3 linked regions of the Nothobranchius furzeri genome follow. The main gene of each other region encodes a partner of the protein of the gene in region 3 in a complex. Links are inferred from orthologs where the notes say so. Each region holds a gene or a part of one and is shown on either strand. Other genes may lie near its edges.

What was found.
Region 1: sart1 (region 3) and lsm7 share a complex: the UniProt entries of both Homo sapiens proteins name them as parts of the U4/U6-U5 tri-snRNP complex. The link is inferred for Nothobranchius furzeri from reciprocal best matches to the Homo sapiens genes SART1 and LSM7.
Region 2: sart1 (region 3) and lsm8 share a complex: the UniProt entries of both Homo sapiens proteins name them as parts of the U4/U6-U5 tri-snRNP complex. The link is inferred for Nothobranchius furzeri from reciprocal best matches to the Homo sapiens genes SART1 and LSM8.

The regions. Positions count from the first base shown.
Region 1 is NC_091748.1:58,319,174-58,325,032, reverse strand, and holds lsm7 (U6 snRNA-associated Sm-like protein LSm7), read left to right. Parts: upstream 1-1,864; 5' UTR 1,865-1,968; coding exon 1,969-1,974; intron 1,975-2,214; coding exon 2,215-2,305; intron 2,306-2,404; coding exon 2,405-2,476; intron 2,477-3,705; coding exon 3,706-3,848; 3' UTR 3,849-4,122; downstream 4,123-5,859. Other genes in the region: kelch-like protein 23, read right to left, coding at 1-545; tmprss9 (transmembrane protease serine 9), read left to right, coding at 5,842-5,859. UniProt on the Homo sapiens protein: Plays a role in pre-mRNA splicing as component of the U4/U6-U5 tri-snRNP complex that is involved in spliceosome assembly, and as component of the precatalytic spliceosome (spliceosome B complex).
Region 2 is NC_091741.1:34,218,318-34,224,223, forward strand, and holds lsm8 (LSM8 homolog, U6 small nuclear RNA associated), read right to left. Parts: upstream 3,934-5,906; 5' UTR 3,309-3,933; coding exon 3,278-3,308; intron 2,811-3,277; coding exon 2,770-2,810; intron 2,301-2,769; coding exon 2,173-2,300; intron 2,050-2,172; coding exon 1,959-2,049; 3' UTR 1,738-1,958; downstream 1-1,737. UniProt on the Homo sapiens protein: Plays a role in pre-mRNA splicing as component of the U4/U6-U5 tri-snRNP complex that is involved in spliceosome assembly, and as component of the precatalytic spliceosome (spliceosome B complex).
Region 3 is NC_091744.1:19,554,408-19,560,486, reverse strand, and holds sart1 (U4/U6.U5 tri-snRNP-associated protein 1), read right to left. Parts: upstream 4,585-6,079; 5' UTR 4,256-4,584; coding exon 1,943-4,255; 3' UTR 1,311-1,942; downstream 1-1,310. UniProt on the Homo sapiens protein: Plays a role in mRNA splicing as a component of the U4/U6-U5 tri-snRNP, one of the building blocks of the spliceosome. May also bind to DNA.

The DNA.
Region 1 (5,859 bases), on a different chromosome or scaffold from region 3:
TCCAGAGCCAGATCATCTTTAAAGATGGCCAGGTCATCACTAGCAAGGAGATCTGCTAAAAAGTCTTTGGAAAGGCATAAGAAATCATCTAGAGTTGAGAGAGCTGAGAAGTGTGTGAGTGCCACCTGCCGCGCTGCGGCATGTAGTTGGGAGAAACCAAAATGCCAGGCGTAGGCCATCATTCCCAAACAGTTGCTGAGGTGCAGCTCCCGCTCCAGAAATTTGCAGCACAGTAGCCTGGGTTTCTCCAGTTGTAAAAAGTCTGCAGTCTCTAGGATTCCCAGAACGTTTTCTCTGTCCAGTGCTAGGCTTTGGGTCACACTGTAGGCCATTAACACTTTAAAATATTGGAGAGCAACACCTTTGATCTCTACCTGCGTCTTGTTTCGCTCCACACCACAGCCAAAGAACAGAGCCCTGAAATAAGGACTCTGGAAGGCCAGACGTTGACGGTTGACATAAAAGCTCTCTCCTCCTACCCGTAGGGTGGTATCTGGGATTAAATCGGTCTCCGAGTCCTTCACATGTAAAACAGATTCATCCATGTCTGTTTTGTTGTAGCTCACGTAGAAGTCCCCTCTGCAGGCGGTGTCATTGCAAACAGCCTCACCAAAATATCTTGACCTACTTGTGGTTTGCAACCCACCAACTGGTACACAGTCAGGGTTTATTAATAGTAGTCATGTGTGGGTCATGACCAAGCTAATTCAGTGTGCTGGCTTGTTCATGTCAATGACTGGAGCAAGCTCCATGCTGAGAGCCTTTATTGGTTATTGATTTTTTTCCCAATAACAATACTGAAACTCAAAAAATTAGAATATGGTGCAAAAGTTCACTTATTTCAATAATCCATCTTAGACTGAGAGACCATCTAAAGGCTCGGGAACCCTTTGCAGATGTTTTTGATTAATTAGCTGGTTAGAGTGCGACACTTTGAGTCTAGAGTATTGAACCTTCTCGCACGTTCTGTTTGTCTGAGATATTTAGTTTTAGATGTTTTCGTAAGCTGTAAGCCATAATCATCACACTTATAACAAATAAATGATGGAAATATCTGGTTTTGCATAGAATGAGTTTATCTCATGAATTTGTTTCACCTTTTAGGTTTTTATACTGAAATCAATAAACTTTTGAACCATGTTCAAATTTTTTGAGTTTCATCTGTATACATTTTATTTTAAAAAGGGTTTCATTGTGGGGCAGTTGGAAGCACTGGTGACTCACAGGAACAATGTCATAGGTTTAAACCTTGGCTACGGCCTTTCATTCTCTCCATGCATGTGTGGGTTTGCTCTGGGTACATGCTCCTCCAGCAGACCAAAAACATACAAGCTGATCGGCAACCCCAACTGTCTTTAGTTGTGAACTCAGTATTAGCATAGTTTTTAACACTGTTACATACTGTTTTGATTGTGAATTTAGCTAAATAATAAACGAAAAAGGCTGTTAGAGCGAGTTTCCCACTCGCTGATAACAAAAGTGTTATAGCGTTTTATTTAGAAAGAATTTACAGGCAGTTTTCTCTTCTCCATCTCCATCAACCAAAAGAAACAAAAATACAGATTATGATCCCCCCCCCCCCCCCCCCCCAGTTTCATTGCCATGAGACTAGAACGTTCCCTTCTAGCTTCTTAGAACCTGATTGTAGTTGCAGTTTATCCCCACTGGAGGGCGTAGATTTCTTCTGAGATTGTAGCCTGTAGCTATTAGCTAACGCACAATGCAGCTGAGAAAGATGAACGTTTTTCCCAGCCTGACAGCGTATTAAGACAATCACATGAGTGTGTATTTAACTCATTACGTTTTAGTAGAGATGGTAGTCCCGAGACTTTTACAAAAATCAATATTGTTTCATTTTACTTTTTATGGTCTACAGCTGGACCTCTCTGAACCCTCTGAACGCGTTATCTCATTGGATCACTATCATTTCCTAGGGTCTAAGATTTACTTCCGGGTCAGACAGTAAATATGGCGGTGAGTTCGTAATCCATGGCTTTCATTATATTGTGTTACTTTTTATCTTTTCACATCCACATTTGTATTGTTAAGATTTAGCTTTGTTTTCTGAACAAAAGTCGACTTGAACAACTTTTATTTTGCTGTGACGGTAGACGTTTTACTTAAATAACGTGGCTAGTAGTGAGCTAAGCTAAGGCTACGTTTTGTTTGTGATTAATTAGTGACTTAAGACAATGTAACCTGGCCTTTCTGCAGGATAAAGAAAAGAAAAAGAAGGAGAGCATCTTCGACTTGTCCAAGTATATCGACAAGACGATTCGGGTGAAGTTTCAAGGTGGACGAGAGGGTGGGTGGACCAAGCTGTTGCTAACCCTTTCATTTCGTGCAAGCAGTAAATGTCTAGATTTCCTTATGTGGAAGCCTAAAATTTGTGTTTTCTTCTCAGCAAGCGGCGTTTTGAAAGGATTTGATCCTCTGTTGAACCTGGTGCTGGACGGCACGATCGAATACATGCGTGGTAAGAAAACCAAAACTCAAATCCAGCCAGAAAACTGCTCCTCAGTCTGAGTCCATGTTTATATCGATGAAGGACTTTTCCTGAACACATTCCGAAGTTCCCCAACACACATAACTATAAAGTAATAATTCGCATTAATTTCGCCCCTACCGTCATCTTTAAAACGATCTACAGTTAGTGAAAATAAGCATGTTGATCAAAACATTATGTTCATGTTCAGAGCATGTTTAAGAGACATTTTTCTACTTCACTTTTTTGAGTTAATTTGTTTTTCAGTAAATTATCAGGAATACGTGTGTGTGTGCGTGCGTGCGTGCTAATCTTGTTTGACAATAAAAGCAACATAATTTTAGATTATCTTCAGTGGACGAACATTACATATAATTACATGTAGACAAAAACATGTTGCTGCTATGTTTAAAAGAAGAAAATTCACAGGCTCTAAATAATTCATTCTAAAACATCAAATAATCCGAGAGATTTTCTGGGCTTCAAATTGAAAAAAGGTTTCCAAATTTTCAAATCACGCCCTTGTATGTAAGATTAATTTTTCAGTTTCATAAAATTAAGAAAGTCTGTGTGTAAAAGCATCTGTGGAATTGTTTTCTTTTTGTACAAACAAACAGAAAACATTGTGTAGACACCTCTCTACTGGAACAGTGTGTTGTTTCCAGGTAAAGGTAAGTAGCTGGTTGTGTTTTTTGTGCTCTTACCCTGTAAGGTTACTCCACCTATCTCCTCTACCATCACTGTGGATTTGTTGAAAATGTGATGCTAGTTTGAACAAACACTGGAAAAATGCTCAAGTTTCTAATTCTCAGTTTAGTGTTTGGAGGGGAGGGTTGAGCTAATATTCAGAGGAGTCATGGAGGCCACTCGGGTGGAACAAAAACCAGAAACATGTGGGGGGAAATTAAATTGATTTAAAAATCCCCAAACAAAAGATGAGTGGCTTTTTTCAGTTTGAGGTTTGTTCTTTAGTGGTCGAAGCAGATTTTTAACAGTGATAACAAATCAAATGTTGTTGGTTTTTTATCGCTGTTACAAGTGGTCGTCTTGTGTGGACTTAACATCTTTGAAAAATACATCTGAACTGAAGATGGTCAAAACAAAAAAATCAAAGGTCTCACCATTCATGTTTTAGTTTTGAGTGCATTCCGGTAAAATGCTTGGTGGACACCCAGCTGCTTGACATTTCCAGTGTGAACGTTCTGTGGCTTTGTGTGCAGATCCAGACGACCAGCTGAAGCTGACAGAAGACACCCGACAGCTGGGGCTGGTGGTCTGCAGAGGAACCTCTGTGGTGCTGATCTGTCCTCAGGATGGCATGGAGGCCATTCCTAACCCATTCATCCAGCAGCAAGATGGATAACCCCCATGCTGCTGCGTGGCACACTTTTGATTAGACTTTTCTTTTTTAACATTACAGGACACTTGTCATTCAGACGACAAACATGTTTTAAGTTCATCACTGGTAAAATAAGGCTCCGTTGCACTTCAGTTTTATTTCCCTGCTAATTTTGCTCATTTTTGTGTTGTGAGGAGCTCCCAGTTCTGAAAGTGTTAAAACAAATTTCTTGTTATCTGAGTGAACTTTTTACTATTCTTTGTTTTTGATAAGAAAATAAAGTGGAAAAAAAGCTGAATCTGAATGTTTTTCTCCTTTGAACACAGAGGACGTGTTGGAAAGTTACACCAGATATGGTCTATTCGAAAGGGTGACAAGGATCTGAGTGGTTTTGTTGACCCGACAGACGTCCCCTACCTGCTGGTTGTGACTGACTCGATGGGTCTACAGACTACTGAACTCTGCAGTAAAAAAAAAGATGAGTGTGTTTAGGTTTAAAGGGAGTTTCTGTGTTTGAAGATAAACCGTTCAAGCTTGTCTGCACACTCACAAAGACACATATGTGGCATTAACAGCTTTTAAGTCAGTAATGCATTAAGCTGGGGTGGGGGTGTAAAGTAATGATATCTATGGATTGTTCCTTTTGAAAGAAAGGATCTTCAGTAGATTTTGGCGTTGGAGAAACGCAGAAACAAAATGCTGATGAGTTTTAAGTGAGATAACTGAAGCTGTTTTTTAAAATGGCAAAATTTTTACTTAACTGGATGTGAAACCTCCTAAAAGTAGGTTAGAATAGTGACTTATGGAAGTCTGAGAGAGAATTGATGGTTTGTCAGGTGTTTGAGCTTGGAGAGGAGTAAAAAGGCCAAATTCCAGGAAGCTTCGCCCCTCCCCTGCTGCTCAGTCACTGTGTCAATGGAGCACGTACAAGCAGGCTTTTAGACGGAGCAGGGCGCTCCACTAAGGAGCATGCTGCAGTCTTATCGCACCTCTTACTCAACTTGATAATGGTGGATTTGAGGGGATTCTACACTTTCCTGGAAACTATGGAGATTTTAAGGTGACAGGAGAGATGCCTGTGTACACCTGGGTGTGACGGAAGGGATCAAGACGGATGGAAGGAACTCAGGACTGGGATTTCTGAGGCTAAACAGGACCTCTTTGGGTAAACAGGAGTAATTTACCTGCTGGACACACACGGCACGCCCCTGCCTCAGGTGCAACAAATAGTGGATCCTTTGGCCCCGTTGCCTCATCCTCCATCTGACTTTCTGCTCCTATGTGCGCCGAGAATTGCGGGCGGTCTCCGGTGTCAACTTTCAGAGTAATGAGCAGGGACAAAGGTGAGTGAGGCTGCTTCAGTCACAGGATAAAGCCTGTATTGTTTATCGCTGCACGCTGATGCTCAGAAGGAAAGAAAATGTAACATCTTTCAGTAACAAAATGTGAAACTGGGTTTTAGCGACAGTTTGGTGCATTCAGAGACTCTTAATGTGACTGAAGACAAAATCGGTCTGCTCTAAAATAAAAGAGCAGACAAAGTGTCAGTCATGCTTTTGCACAAACTTAACTTTGTGATTTTTACAAAGCAGTGCAGGCCTTTTTGAATCTAGACTTGTTATAGAAAAACAAATCTGTGATTTTTGTCCAAATTGAACATGCATATTTGCATGCATGCATTTCTACCACATTTATTTACCACATAATTTTTTCATGTGGCAAATTCAACTGAATGTTATAAGTATTTCTTGCATGTTTGTATTTTGTCCGATGTATTCCTTTTTAATTATTATTCTTTGGTCCCAGATGTGATTTGCTGCTGTGATACCAAAATGCCCTCATTGAGTGACAATAAAGTGATTTTCTATTCTATACATTCTAATGTTGCATTTCATATCGTCGTCTGGATCCTGGAGGCTTTTTGCCGTGACACAGTGTTTGAGCAGATGTTTGTTCGTCAGGCATTGTGATTCGGACAGTTGAATGTGAGCTGTGAGATCAGTGCTGGGATTCCAACATGGACACCAAGAAGGAT
Region 2 (5,906 bases), on a different chromosome or scaffold from region 3:
TACAGGATGCACATCTGGGTACGGGTCATGTGACAAAGGATAATGCCAGTACCAGTTCAACTGTGGATTTATAGTCTTACTGCAGGGGGATTGAAGAACCAACGGTAGCGTTCTGTTTTACATGTTGGACGTCTCAATCTGCCACTAAAAGCAGAGAATAAAATTCTACCACTTTGTCTTTAAATGATTGTTTTTATTTTTTGCTTTAATTTGGGATTATCACGAATGACTTCCAAAATACAGTCCCTTATTTATTTTCAGTGTTTTTAATGTGAATTTATTTTGTGTATCATTTTTTCCAGTGAAGACTTTAAAAATTAAACGGTGGAACATGGAACGCGAACACCAAAGCCACATCTAGGGTGTGGAGGGTGTTGTTGCAACAATAGGACAAGGTTTCCAGCCGTCGGGACACCAGGTTCGCTGCCGATACGTGAAATGTTTTATTTGTGTGTGGCAAGGTGGATAAACGAGGGCCCAGGCGGAATTCGATCCGCAGACTCCCGGGTGAGAGTTATACGCTCTAACCAGTCAGCCAAAGGGACATCCCCTTGGCCAAGTAGCCAGGGCGCATGATCAATCGGGACATTGTGACAGGACGCTCACACTGTCCTTCTGTTGTAGGCTTCACCTAGGGGGTGGATCCAGGAAGCAAGTTTAGAACATTCTCTCCAGTGGTCATCAAAGGTCAACCTGTAGAAACTGTGGAGACATATAAATATCTCGGGGTGTACCTCGACGATAAGTTAAACTGGAAAAGGAACAGTGATGCTGTTGTTAAAAAGGCCCAGTCCAGATTGTTTTTTCTTAGGAAGCTAAGATCCTTTGATATAAGTAGGAGGCTCTTGAATGTGTTTTATCAGGGGATTATGTCCAGTGTGTTGTTTTATGCTGTGTTGTGTTGGGGCAGGAGCCTCATTGCTGAGGACAAAAACAGGATCAACAAAATGATCAAGAAATCTGGCTCAGTGGTTGGGCAACGCTTGGACTCATTTGACATGATCATCGACAAAAGGATTAAGCGTAAACTTAAGACAGTTATGACTCTGGAGGATCACCCCCTTCACCACATTTTTAAGGATCTCGGGAGCTCTTTCAGTGGGCGAATGTTAACGCCCCGGTGCTCCACTGAACGTTTTAGGAACTCTTTTATTCCAGCTGCAGTGCGTTTTTACAATGACCATTTCGTATGATTGTATATTTGATATTTTCATATTTTATTAGGACCAGTGAATGTTTTATTGTGTGGATGTGCATGTTGTGTTTACTTGTCCAAGGCAATTCAATTTCCCCCTTGGGGATTAATAAAGACAACCTTGAACCTTGAACATCGGGGCTCTCCTGATAAATTCCTGCTTGACAAAGCGCTCCCCTCCTCTCCCGGCTCCACGAACGATTCTCAAGTGGATTCAATCGCCTCTAATCCAAGCGAGCATCGGCAGTCAATGCTAACGATTGTCCATAGGCAGCCCCGATTAATCGATGCTAGACAAATGAGAACAGGACAGATCCTCATTCTTCTTCCAGATGGAGAAATAATTACTCATTCATGACTAAAGATATCAGAACTAAAATAGAGACCATGAGCTGTTTGAACAAAGCCGTAGAGTTGGCGCTATTTAATGTTTCTTTGGCAACGATCTTGTTTTTCCACATATTTTATTAAAGTTTCATTGTTTATGTGTTGTTTTCTTGTTCTGCTCCAGAGTCTGGATGTTTAGAGACCGGAGGACTTCATTATAAACAGCTTAACAAATCAGACTTTATTAAAATGATCTCAGACTGACAAAAACATGAAGTAGAAAACAAATCCAACATGTTATTTATAAAAAATACAAACAGAAACAGAACAATCGAGGTTCTGCAGCTTCACCACTCATCACGCCTCCCAGAACACGACAGCAACAGAACTGAGCTGTACTGTGATGGGTTGCCATGGAGACAGCAGGGTTCAAAGGTCAGTGTACAACAGAGTTGAGCGGCTCAGCTCTGATGTTCCCTAAATCCAGCGTGGAGTCGGTCTCCTCATCAATCTCCCCGATCACGGCGCTGGAGCAGAAACACGAGAAACGGTTAGAAGCTGTCCGAGGAGCAGCCGAGCTCCCCGTGCACCGGGACGTCCTTAGGGGTCATCATTTCTCATTTAGTTTTAGTTTGACCGAGGTGACTCACACGTTGTCTCCTCTAACGATGTAGAGGCCCAGCACCACCTGCTCCACCCCCTGGTTGGAGCTGAACACGCGCTCGTGGCTCTCATCCAGGATCAGGTTGATGGTCTGATCAAAGCCCTTCAAAGTGCCCTGAACACCCAAATGATAAATAAATAAATATAAATAAATAAGTACAGCACCTTTCAGTCAGAGGATTCCAAAGCAACTTAATATTATTATTCATCAACACGCTGGTGGTGTTGAGCTACAATGAATCATACTTAAAACAACCAGGCTAATAAAATACTAATAGTTCAGATTACACTTGAACTTTTATTTCAAAATGATTTTCAGTTATCTGCAGTTTTATGCCCCAAAACAGTAAAAATCTGACCATAAAAGTAAAAACGTGTCTGTCAGCATCTGTAGTGATGGGAACAGGACTAGATTTCTGGATTTACAGTCGAGGGAAAAACTAAATCCCCTGTGACCGACACCGGTTTAAATGAGGCTTCGGTTCAGGTGGAGGGGAAATCCTTGTGCTGGAGCCTCAAACATCTAAACACCAGAACCGTATCATCTTCTCTGCTGTCCAGCTGAGCTGAAAACGTGAACTCACCACGATCATCCTCCCGTCTGAGGTGACGATGGCAACAGTTCCTGGATCAGCTGGAGTCAAGGAAACATCATCTGTGCACAACTCATCAGTAAATTACGTCTAGCTTCTCCGTTTTCACCCGAACAACAACGATGGGTGTGCTTCAGTTAAATAACCCGACATCTTAAATCAGAAACAAACTAAATATATTTTATTCACAACCCGTGAAACCGAACTAACGCAGATCAGAACCGTTAATATCTACGTTTTGACGCCATCTGATCATATAAAATTCTATCAGTGATTTTTTTTTATGCAAACACTGATTTGAAATTGAACTGCTACGTAAAAGTTATTCCAGGTATGTTCATTCAGTTCTAAATAAAAATGAGTAGTTTTTTTGTCGCTTTAGCTTTTACCGTCTCTAAACTCCACCTAAACAACAACAAATTACATAAACATCGAAGCTAGCGCGCTAAGCTAACTAGCACTTCTTAAGCATGCAGTTAGCATGCTAGCAGCAAGATACGGTTGATGTAGCTCTCCAGCGCGGTGGACATGCTTCGTCCCGGACTCGGTCTCTATCTGTCCAGCAGAAAAATCGGTAAATCCCTCCAACGGTTGTCTATTTGCGCCGCTGTGTAAAAAAATAAAACGGAAAGAGCATCAAACCGCACCGCACCAAAACACCGGAGACAAGTCAAGACTAATCATACGCCGAATCATCGCGCAGGAAGGGGCGCGGAGGGTCGAGCGGTGACGTTTTTTTTATTCAAATTCCTCCAAATGTTATCATCAAACATTGATCTGGAAAGTTGTTTAAACGTGTGAGTAGGTGATGTCAGAGCTACAACCCTAAAGACAAAATATTGGGTACAGAAATGAAACACACTATAGCCCTATCAGTGGCGCATTTAGCAATTTGGGGCCCAAGGCGAGCACAGACATGGGGCCCCCTTAAAATAAATTTCGGCAATCTTACTTTTAATTGGATTTACAAAACTCTCCCCTCTTCTGCCATGAGTTATTTTCCCTTTTTATTAGTCCTCCTCTTTATTCATGTCTTTCTCTCCCTTTGAGTGCCTCCAATATTTGCTCTGCTTTCTTCTTCCTGTCAGTGCTCCTGAGCTTTTGCCTTTTTTAAATTTATTTTTCATTTTGGTCTACGTTTTCCTCCCTTTAAACATTTTCTATTGTCTTTCCTTTTCTGCTTCCTGATGCTCGAGCATCCGACAGAGGTGGAAAGTAATGAATTACATTTACTCACGTTACTGTAATTGAGTAGCTTTTTTGTATATTTATACTTTTTAAGTCATTTTTAAAATCTGTACTTTTACTTGAGTAAGTTTTTTAAAAAGAATTGTAATTCGCTACATTTTAAATCATATCCGTTACTGAGTAAAAATAAATTATAGGCTTAATAAATTAAAAATATTACGTGAAGCAGCGTCAGAACGGAAAGAGACACCTGCATGAGGACCGCATCTAAACCGGGGGTGTGTGGGGGTGTACACTTTTGCTCAAAGACATCATCAGTTCAGTCGATCAACTCGCTGTTTATCACCTCTCTCCCTCCTCTCCTGTGGTTGGAACCTGCACCTTCGCGCACCAGTGTGACATCATCAGAATTCTGCTCGGTTCGGTAGCGAGACTCGGTTCCGTGTTTGAAATGTGTTTCCCTACCGCTCCGCACGGCAGCGGCAAAATACTGTTTAGTGCTCATAACAAGCGGATTATCAGCGCTTTGCTCATAAACAGAAGAGCTGCAGGCCTCTGTGAGTTAAAACATCATGATACTGTTCAGGTGTAAACATTGTGCTCCATCCCTGTGTTTGAACTCAGAAGTTGCTCCTTGATGCCACAGATATGTGATGATTTAGCTTGTTTCTTTATTTTACTCCAGAATTAGAGATTAAATTATTACTAAAGCAATTCAATGTAGTTAAATTAGTCATGGCGTGCGTGTGTGTGTGTGTGTGTGTGTGTTACACATATAGGACTGCATGAGACAGCGTGGTTTCATCAAATCCATGCATCTCATATCTTGGGTGAAGTAACGGCTCAGGAAAATAACATATATTTCATAAATAATGACGTCTCTGCAGTGTTTATGATAATGTTTTATCTTATCTTTGGTCTGGGAGGTGTAACTTATCATGATACAAGCCTTTTAAAACATGTTAAAGTGTTACAAGAGGAGATAAATGCATGAATTTAAAGTTCATGTTTGGAGGCTCACGCTGGTGAGGAGACACCGTTAGTTCTAGTAACACCTGGGCTCCCAAGGCCTGTTCTGACAGGATGGATGTTACGGGACCCTTAAGGATTCCAGTTGGATGATTGGAGGATTATTTAGGAGGATTGAAATGAACAAACTGATTTCAGTGGTGAAGGGTTAAATGAGTGAGTGAACCCACTGCCAAGGATGAACTCTGCTAGCTTTAAAAATCAGCTGCTCTAAATAAGCATGAAGGTCAGAGAGGATCTCTAGGATGGACATGGATAAAGGAACTGTAATGTAGAGGTAAAGTAGGGCAGGGCCAACGTTAGCAGCTGTCATACGGTCCATCTGACATGTTTGACTGCATTAGGCTTGCTATGTGACAGGTTAGAGCACAGTCTCATGTTAGAGTTTTGTCATGAGGACATTGAGATACCTCACATGCTGATGGCATCTAAAAAAATTATTTTTTCTCAAAATAAAGAATAATTTGAATCACAATTGAAACTTACCATCCTAGAAAAACCTCGTCCAATCAATGTGCACGTCCTGTTCTCACTGATTGGATAGAAATCCTTCCTTCAAGCCGTGCGTGTTTGAGTGTGTGTGTGCGCACACACAAGCGAATTGTGAACTGCCGTTGCGATTTAGCACTACTTAGATGTAGCCATCCTTACGCTGACAAAAATGTAACTAAGTAACTTTTACTTTGAGTACATTTTGTTTACGATACCTTTTACTTTTACTTGAGTAAAAATTTAGGCAAGTACTTTTACTTGTAATTGAGTAAAAAATTATCAAAGTATTGGTACTCGTAATTAAGTAGGAAATTTTAGTACTCTTTCCACCTCTGGCATCTGACCCACGTGACCACAGAGCTAGCTCCGTGGAAAGGCCTCAGTAGAGCCTCGGTCTGGCCTGGAAACTGCTCCGGGAT
Region 3 (6,079 bases):
GATACCTAAATACATTTCACATGAAAAGAATTTGCGTTTCTAATTATTTAAATATTCCGTTAGCCTTTCACGTTGATCAAAATCAATGGTTGTTTTGCTAAAACGAGACAAAAGTATCAAATGATCACCGCAGATGTAGGTTACACCGAGAAAACCGAGGCCGGTGTTGTGCCATAAATCGACTCGCTGCCAGAAAATGATTAGCCACTAAAGAAAGGAAGGGGAAAAAATCAAATCGCTGGAGAATTGTTCATTTACATTTATACAACGTTTACATTCAATACAGGGCGCCATTTTACATTGTTTATTTATTTTTTTAGCATCAAGGCTGTAACATAAAGAAAGCCAGTTCTTACCACAAACCATCTTTCAATCGCAAATATTGCAAAAAGGATTAATATATCCTCATTGTGAACGTTTAAGACAAATAGCAACACTTAAAACAACTTCCGAACTGGACAAAACTAAGCTAATCATTTTTTGGCAGTGATCGATTTATGGCACAACACCGGCTCCCAAAATTAAAGCTACTTAAACTCTCCGTACCCGCCACTAAGCTGCCTGTGAGCTACACGGTGTCAGAAAGCTGGAAAACGAGCTTACACATCGCCTCTAAAGATTTCAGCTGTGCGGTCTCGTGTCGTTTAATTTCTTCGTGGAATAACTGTGGCAACAAACCGGCTGCGTAGCTCTACATAACATCACTTACCTCTCAGCGATCATGACGTGACGTTAGATTACGTTAGCGGTTAGCTTTGAGCGAATTGCTACAGGTTGTGTATCGGAATTGGGCTCGGCCGCAACTCCCAATTGCTGAACAGGGTTCCGCTCACGGTCGCCGTCAAAAACTAATTGCAGTCGCTAAGTAGGGAGGTTAGGCTGGTTAAACAGCGATTAAATGTTTAAGAAATACTAGTTTATGAACGGAAAAAGAAACTAGTTCATTTAAAAGATTTCTGAGCTGTAGCCACGTGGTATGCTGCAAAAGCCTTCTGCGCACACACAACCGGAACTTGAACAGGCCTAAATATTTACTGAACTACAACTACTGCTATTTCAATAATTATCAAATAACAAAAAATATACTATATATGATTTTCAATACTGTTATTAGCCACAGCTATTGACAAACTACAAAAAGTGAAATGTCTTGAACTCCCTAAATTTTGAGCTTTGTTATTTTAAGTGTTTTATGACATGTTGTGCAATAGAATTTGCAATTCATATATATATATATATATATATTTGAATTGCAAATTTTATGTACAATATAAGTGTATAACTTTTAAAAATTATGTTTAGACATTAAATCATCAACAGATGCACTTTATTTATTCAGAATTTAAAGACAGATCAAACGATATTATCCTAACAGCTGTTTCAGTGAATGATCCAGGCTCTCCAGTTTTACCTAGGGTGGTTTTACAAAGATTTCAGTTCCCAGTTTAAGGTCAAATATGAAACAACTCTCACTCGTATATTATCTGAGGCAGAAAATTAATCACAAAGAGCAGGTGACATAAAACAGAAACTGATCAGCATTTAAAATTTCTAATGACCTTTTGAAAAACATGCTTGCATCCCATTTTTTAACGTTGTTCTTGTTTGAGCTTAAAGGTGCAATGATGCAAGTTATCCTGTTTTAGTTTTGTGACCAGAAATTTTTTTCCTTTATCTGATTTGTAAAAATTGCCCATATATTGTTCAAAAATTCACCTCCAATAATAACTGAATCCATTAATCATATTTTAGCAGAAAAAAAAAGTTTCAAAAACAATTTGTGGTTTAAATTATTGTTCTTTTAGGAAATTCACAAGACAAATGAAATAGTTTACACCTGTACTGATTTTCTTATACTATTGTTATATCAACACTGAAGCAAGACCATAAACTAGCAATAATCTCAAAAGAGCTACAACAATAATCATTTTCCCCTACATATTTATTTAGTGATGGTGTTTGCATTCATGCTCTTCCCACTGCCACTGAGGACGATGTACGGCGTTTTCTGAGATTTCTGTTTCTCTTGAAGCAAAGCCACCGTCCCCAGAGGTGTATCGCTGCTGCTCATCTTCTTCAGCAGCGCTTCCTCCTCCAGCTTTTTCATCCTCCTTTCAGTTTTCATCTTTCCAGAACCTTTGCCGTGGAAACGATGCGAAAGCTGCCTGAATGCCTCTTTTGGGGTGAGTCTGCGCCCAGACTCATCCACATACTCAATTTTGACGTCGGGTTTATATCCATCCTTTTCCTTGAAATCCTGCGTGAAGCCTCTGTATTCTTCCCGGCGACTGTACTTATCATCAAAGCCCATCTTGTCCTCGATGCAGTAGTTGTCATTAGGCAGGGACCCCTTTGTTGCTTTGACACGAGCCACCTTTTGCATTTGCGTGTCCAGCAGCCCTTTATTTTTGCACAGCAGTAAAGCAGCAGCAAGGCCAGAGTTCACGATGGGTTCCTCATCCAGGATAGTGGCAGAGGCTGTGGAAAATTCAGCATGATTTTGCTCCTCATCCAGGTTAACTGTGCTCCACCCAATATTTTCATCCATTTCGGAGTCTGAATCTCCAGCATCATCTTTCTCTTCTTCCTGTTCAAAGTCCATGATATCCTCCTGGTCTTCCCTGTTTCCAGACAGTCCATACGTTGGAATATCACCCAGAGTTCTGCAGAACTCAGAGGTGGCATTGAAGACAATGTTATTCCTCTTGTCAGGATCATTTTCGTCACCGCCTTTAACAAACCGTCTGATCTGCTCTGCCACCTTCTCCCCGGAGTCTTTGAGAAGCTGCTTCTGCCTCAGCTTCCTCTGTTTCTCCAGTTGTTTCTGCAGCTCCTGCTCTGCCTCATCCTCCTCAATTACAGCTGGCTCAGGAGGCGTGAAGTTTTCTTCATCACTCATTTCCATTTCTGCCGTCCTGATGTCATCAGACATTTGGGGGATTTCATGTGGCCAACGCTCGCCCTTGCCTGTATTCTCCTCTTCGTTGTCCTGTTTGCGGCCCCGACCTCGTGCTCGGGAGCCAAAGTCAGAGCTGCGAGTGTCATCAAGGAGCTCATCTGCAATTGTCTGCTTCTCCTTCTTCCTGATTTTCTTCACACGGCGTTTTGTCTTTTTAAAGCCAACCATTTCCTGAGGCGTGTAATACTCCGAAGCGATAGCAAGAGCAGGCATTTCCAAAGACTGGGCCTGGTTTTGCAGCGTTTCTTTCATAGCCTGCAGCTCCCGTTCTCGCTCCCCATCAGCAAATCCCCATGTGCTCAAACGAAAGCTCTTTTTCTTTTCACCTTCAATTTCTTCATCGTATTTTGAAAGTACAGTGCGGGGCTTAAAGGTGACCATGTCATCCACACTCTCCTCTTCTTCGTAGGGCTTGTAGTCAGGCTTTTTCTTTTTCAACTCCACATTCTTTTCTGCTTTTTCCTTGTCCACCAGTCCCACGTTCACAAGCACATCCTCCTCTTCTTCCAGGACACCTTTGTCTTGCAGGGTCAGAATGACAGTGTGGCCCTCCTTGAAGGAATCAACCTTGTGCTGCACTTTGAGGCCTTTGAGATCCCGTGAAGAATAAGAATCCAATTTACTTTGAGCAAACTCCTCTTCAACCAGATTGCTGACACCAAACTCCTCATCCATCTCTTCCAGAAGTTTGGCTCTTTTCTCTGCCATTTCTTTCTCTTGTGCCAGCTTTCTGCTTCTTTCAATCCAAGCGGCTGTGTCATCGAGCCAATCATCATCTGCAAGGTTTTTGACTTTGCCCAGTTTCTGATTGAGGAGACGTTTTTCTTTCATAGCTGCAAGCTTCTCCCTCATCTCTTTCTGCTGCTGGATGAGAACAGGGTTGATGGTCTCAGCCACCAGTGGCTCCTCTTTGGTTCCAAGTTCTTTCTTGTTCTCATTGAGTTCCAGAGGCTTTAAACCCAGCTTGGCTCGGAGTTTGTTCGTTTCCTCGACGCTGAGGGAAGCATCTCCACTTGCACTCTGAGGCTGTATTTCTGCACTGCCTTCCTCATAGCCAGGATCCAATTTCTCCCTCTTTATACGAGTCTCGCCACTGCTTTTTTCCCCTTTGCTGCGACTATCCCGTCTGCTCCTTTCCCTGGACCTGGAGCGTTTTCGTTTTTCTCGAGTTCCATCCCGATCTGAGGCATCTCTGTCTCTCTCTCGTTCTTTGTGCCGATGCTTCTTATGTTCACGACGGCGCTCTTCTGCGTCCTTATCGCGACTCTTTTCCTTGTGTTTCTTTGAAGAACCCATGATTTCGTCCGCTGTTTACAACTCCAGAGTCGTAGTTCCGTCACAGTCAAGCTGCGTACGCAGTCTCTTCAGCTGTATTGATGTGGTAAATGTCGCGAACTTTTCTCCCAACTAGGTCGAGTTAGCTTCAAAAGCTAAAGGGTTAGCCACGTCAAAACTCACTCATTTCGGGGAAAACTGCATCATATTTTCGATATCCAGCATCGGTGGAAAATACGTGGAGTTTCGTTGGTTTGTTTATTTGTAGCACCTCGCACCAGCATAAATACTAACAACCACGTTTTAAGTTTGCTACTTCGACGAAACGAACATACAACGACAACGAATTCGTTTCCGGAAGTCAAGTGGTAGAAAAAACTTTGCTCGCCCTGGTTGTATATCGCCCCCTGCTGGCTGGGGCTTTAACAACCGGACATTAACTGACAAACAAACGCTTTTAAATGTTTTAGGAAAATTGTTTGATACTTTACAAAAAGTACACGAAGTGCAACACAGCGATTTACTATCTCCTCTATTTTGGCGCAGTTCCTTTACTTTAGCTTGTTAGCTTAGCAAAGGTTGCAGCCTGCAACCTGCTGTATTTAGCAAGCCGTGATAGCATTTAATGAAGCAAAACATTTCCATTCACTTAAAATTTTAGATAAAGTTATAATAATTCCCATTATCAAAATGTATTTCTTACTTATCGTAACTGAAATAATATCTAGAAGTGCATTCTGATCAGTAAAAACACATTTTAATACTGTAATTGATATTTCAATTGGAAACCCCCAGGTTTAGAGTATTTAAAAATGCTTTTGATTCCAAACGGTCATTTGAACATTTAATGGCTGGGATGTTTATCACTTTCAGATATACATCAAAATTAATTCTTCTCAGACAAAGAGAAAAAGTCAGATGTCTAGCAATGGTTTCTGTCTACCAACAACAGCATTAAGGATTTTTTCAAATTACATTTTTCTACTTCAGCTTTTGCATTTATCTGTATTGAGCTCCAGATATCAAAAAGGGCATTGTGCTAATGTATTTGGCAGATGCTTTTGTCCAAAACGATCTATAAACAAGGATGTAACAGTACTTGCATCTGATTCTAACGATAAACTGATTAGAGGAAAGAACACTAGGCTCCGACAGAGGAGTATGCGAAAATAGTGTAGAAATGAATCAGAGTGCAACATAGATGGAAGTGCACAAAGAGATGCAGTGGAATAGAGGAAGGGATGGGTGGATCCTAGGGTAGGAGTAGGTGTAACATTATGGATATCATATCAGTTCACATGTTAATTTCACTCATTTTTATACATACTACATTTTAAATTTTACTTGAATCTGTTATGCTTTGGCTGCATGTTGGCACAGTGGTAGTGCTGTTGCCTTGCTGTATTTCAATAAATAAAGTTTGAATCAAATGCTATTTCATCAAGTTCTTAATAGATATTTTAATTATCTTTCAAAATATTTGTAATTGCATTTGTTGCGAGTTTCTCAATAGATCTATACACGAGTTTACCACTATTCTTTATTTTGTGTATTAAAAAAACCTTTGAATATGTCACCTAGGATAATAGATACGTGAATTGCGTGTTTCCCTCAGTAAGAATCGTCAGATCATGCCAGGATAAGAAAGAATAGAAGAAATTGTTACCTGGATGGCTGAAATGTCTTTTAGCACGAAACCCCCCACGATGGATTGAGCCCAAGTAATAAATGACAAATCGGCTTGCTTGTAACAGCATCGTGCTGCTTCTGTTAGCCATTTGGGTCCAGGCAGTTAGCAAAGGTAAATGGCTAATGTCACTTTGAAGTTGGGCATGGCTAATGTGC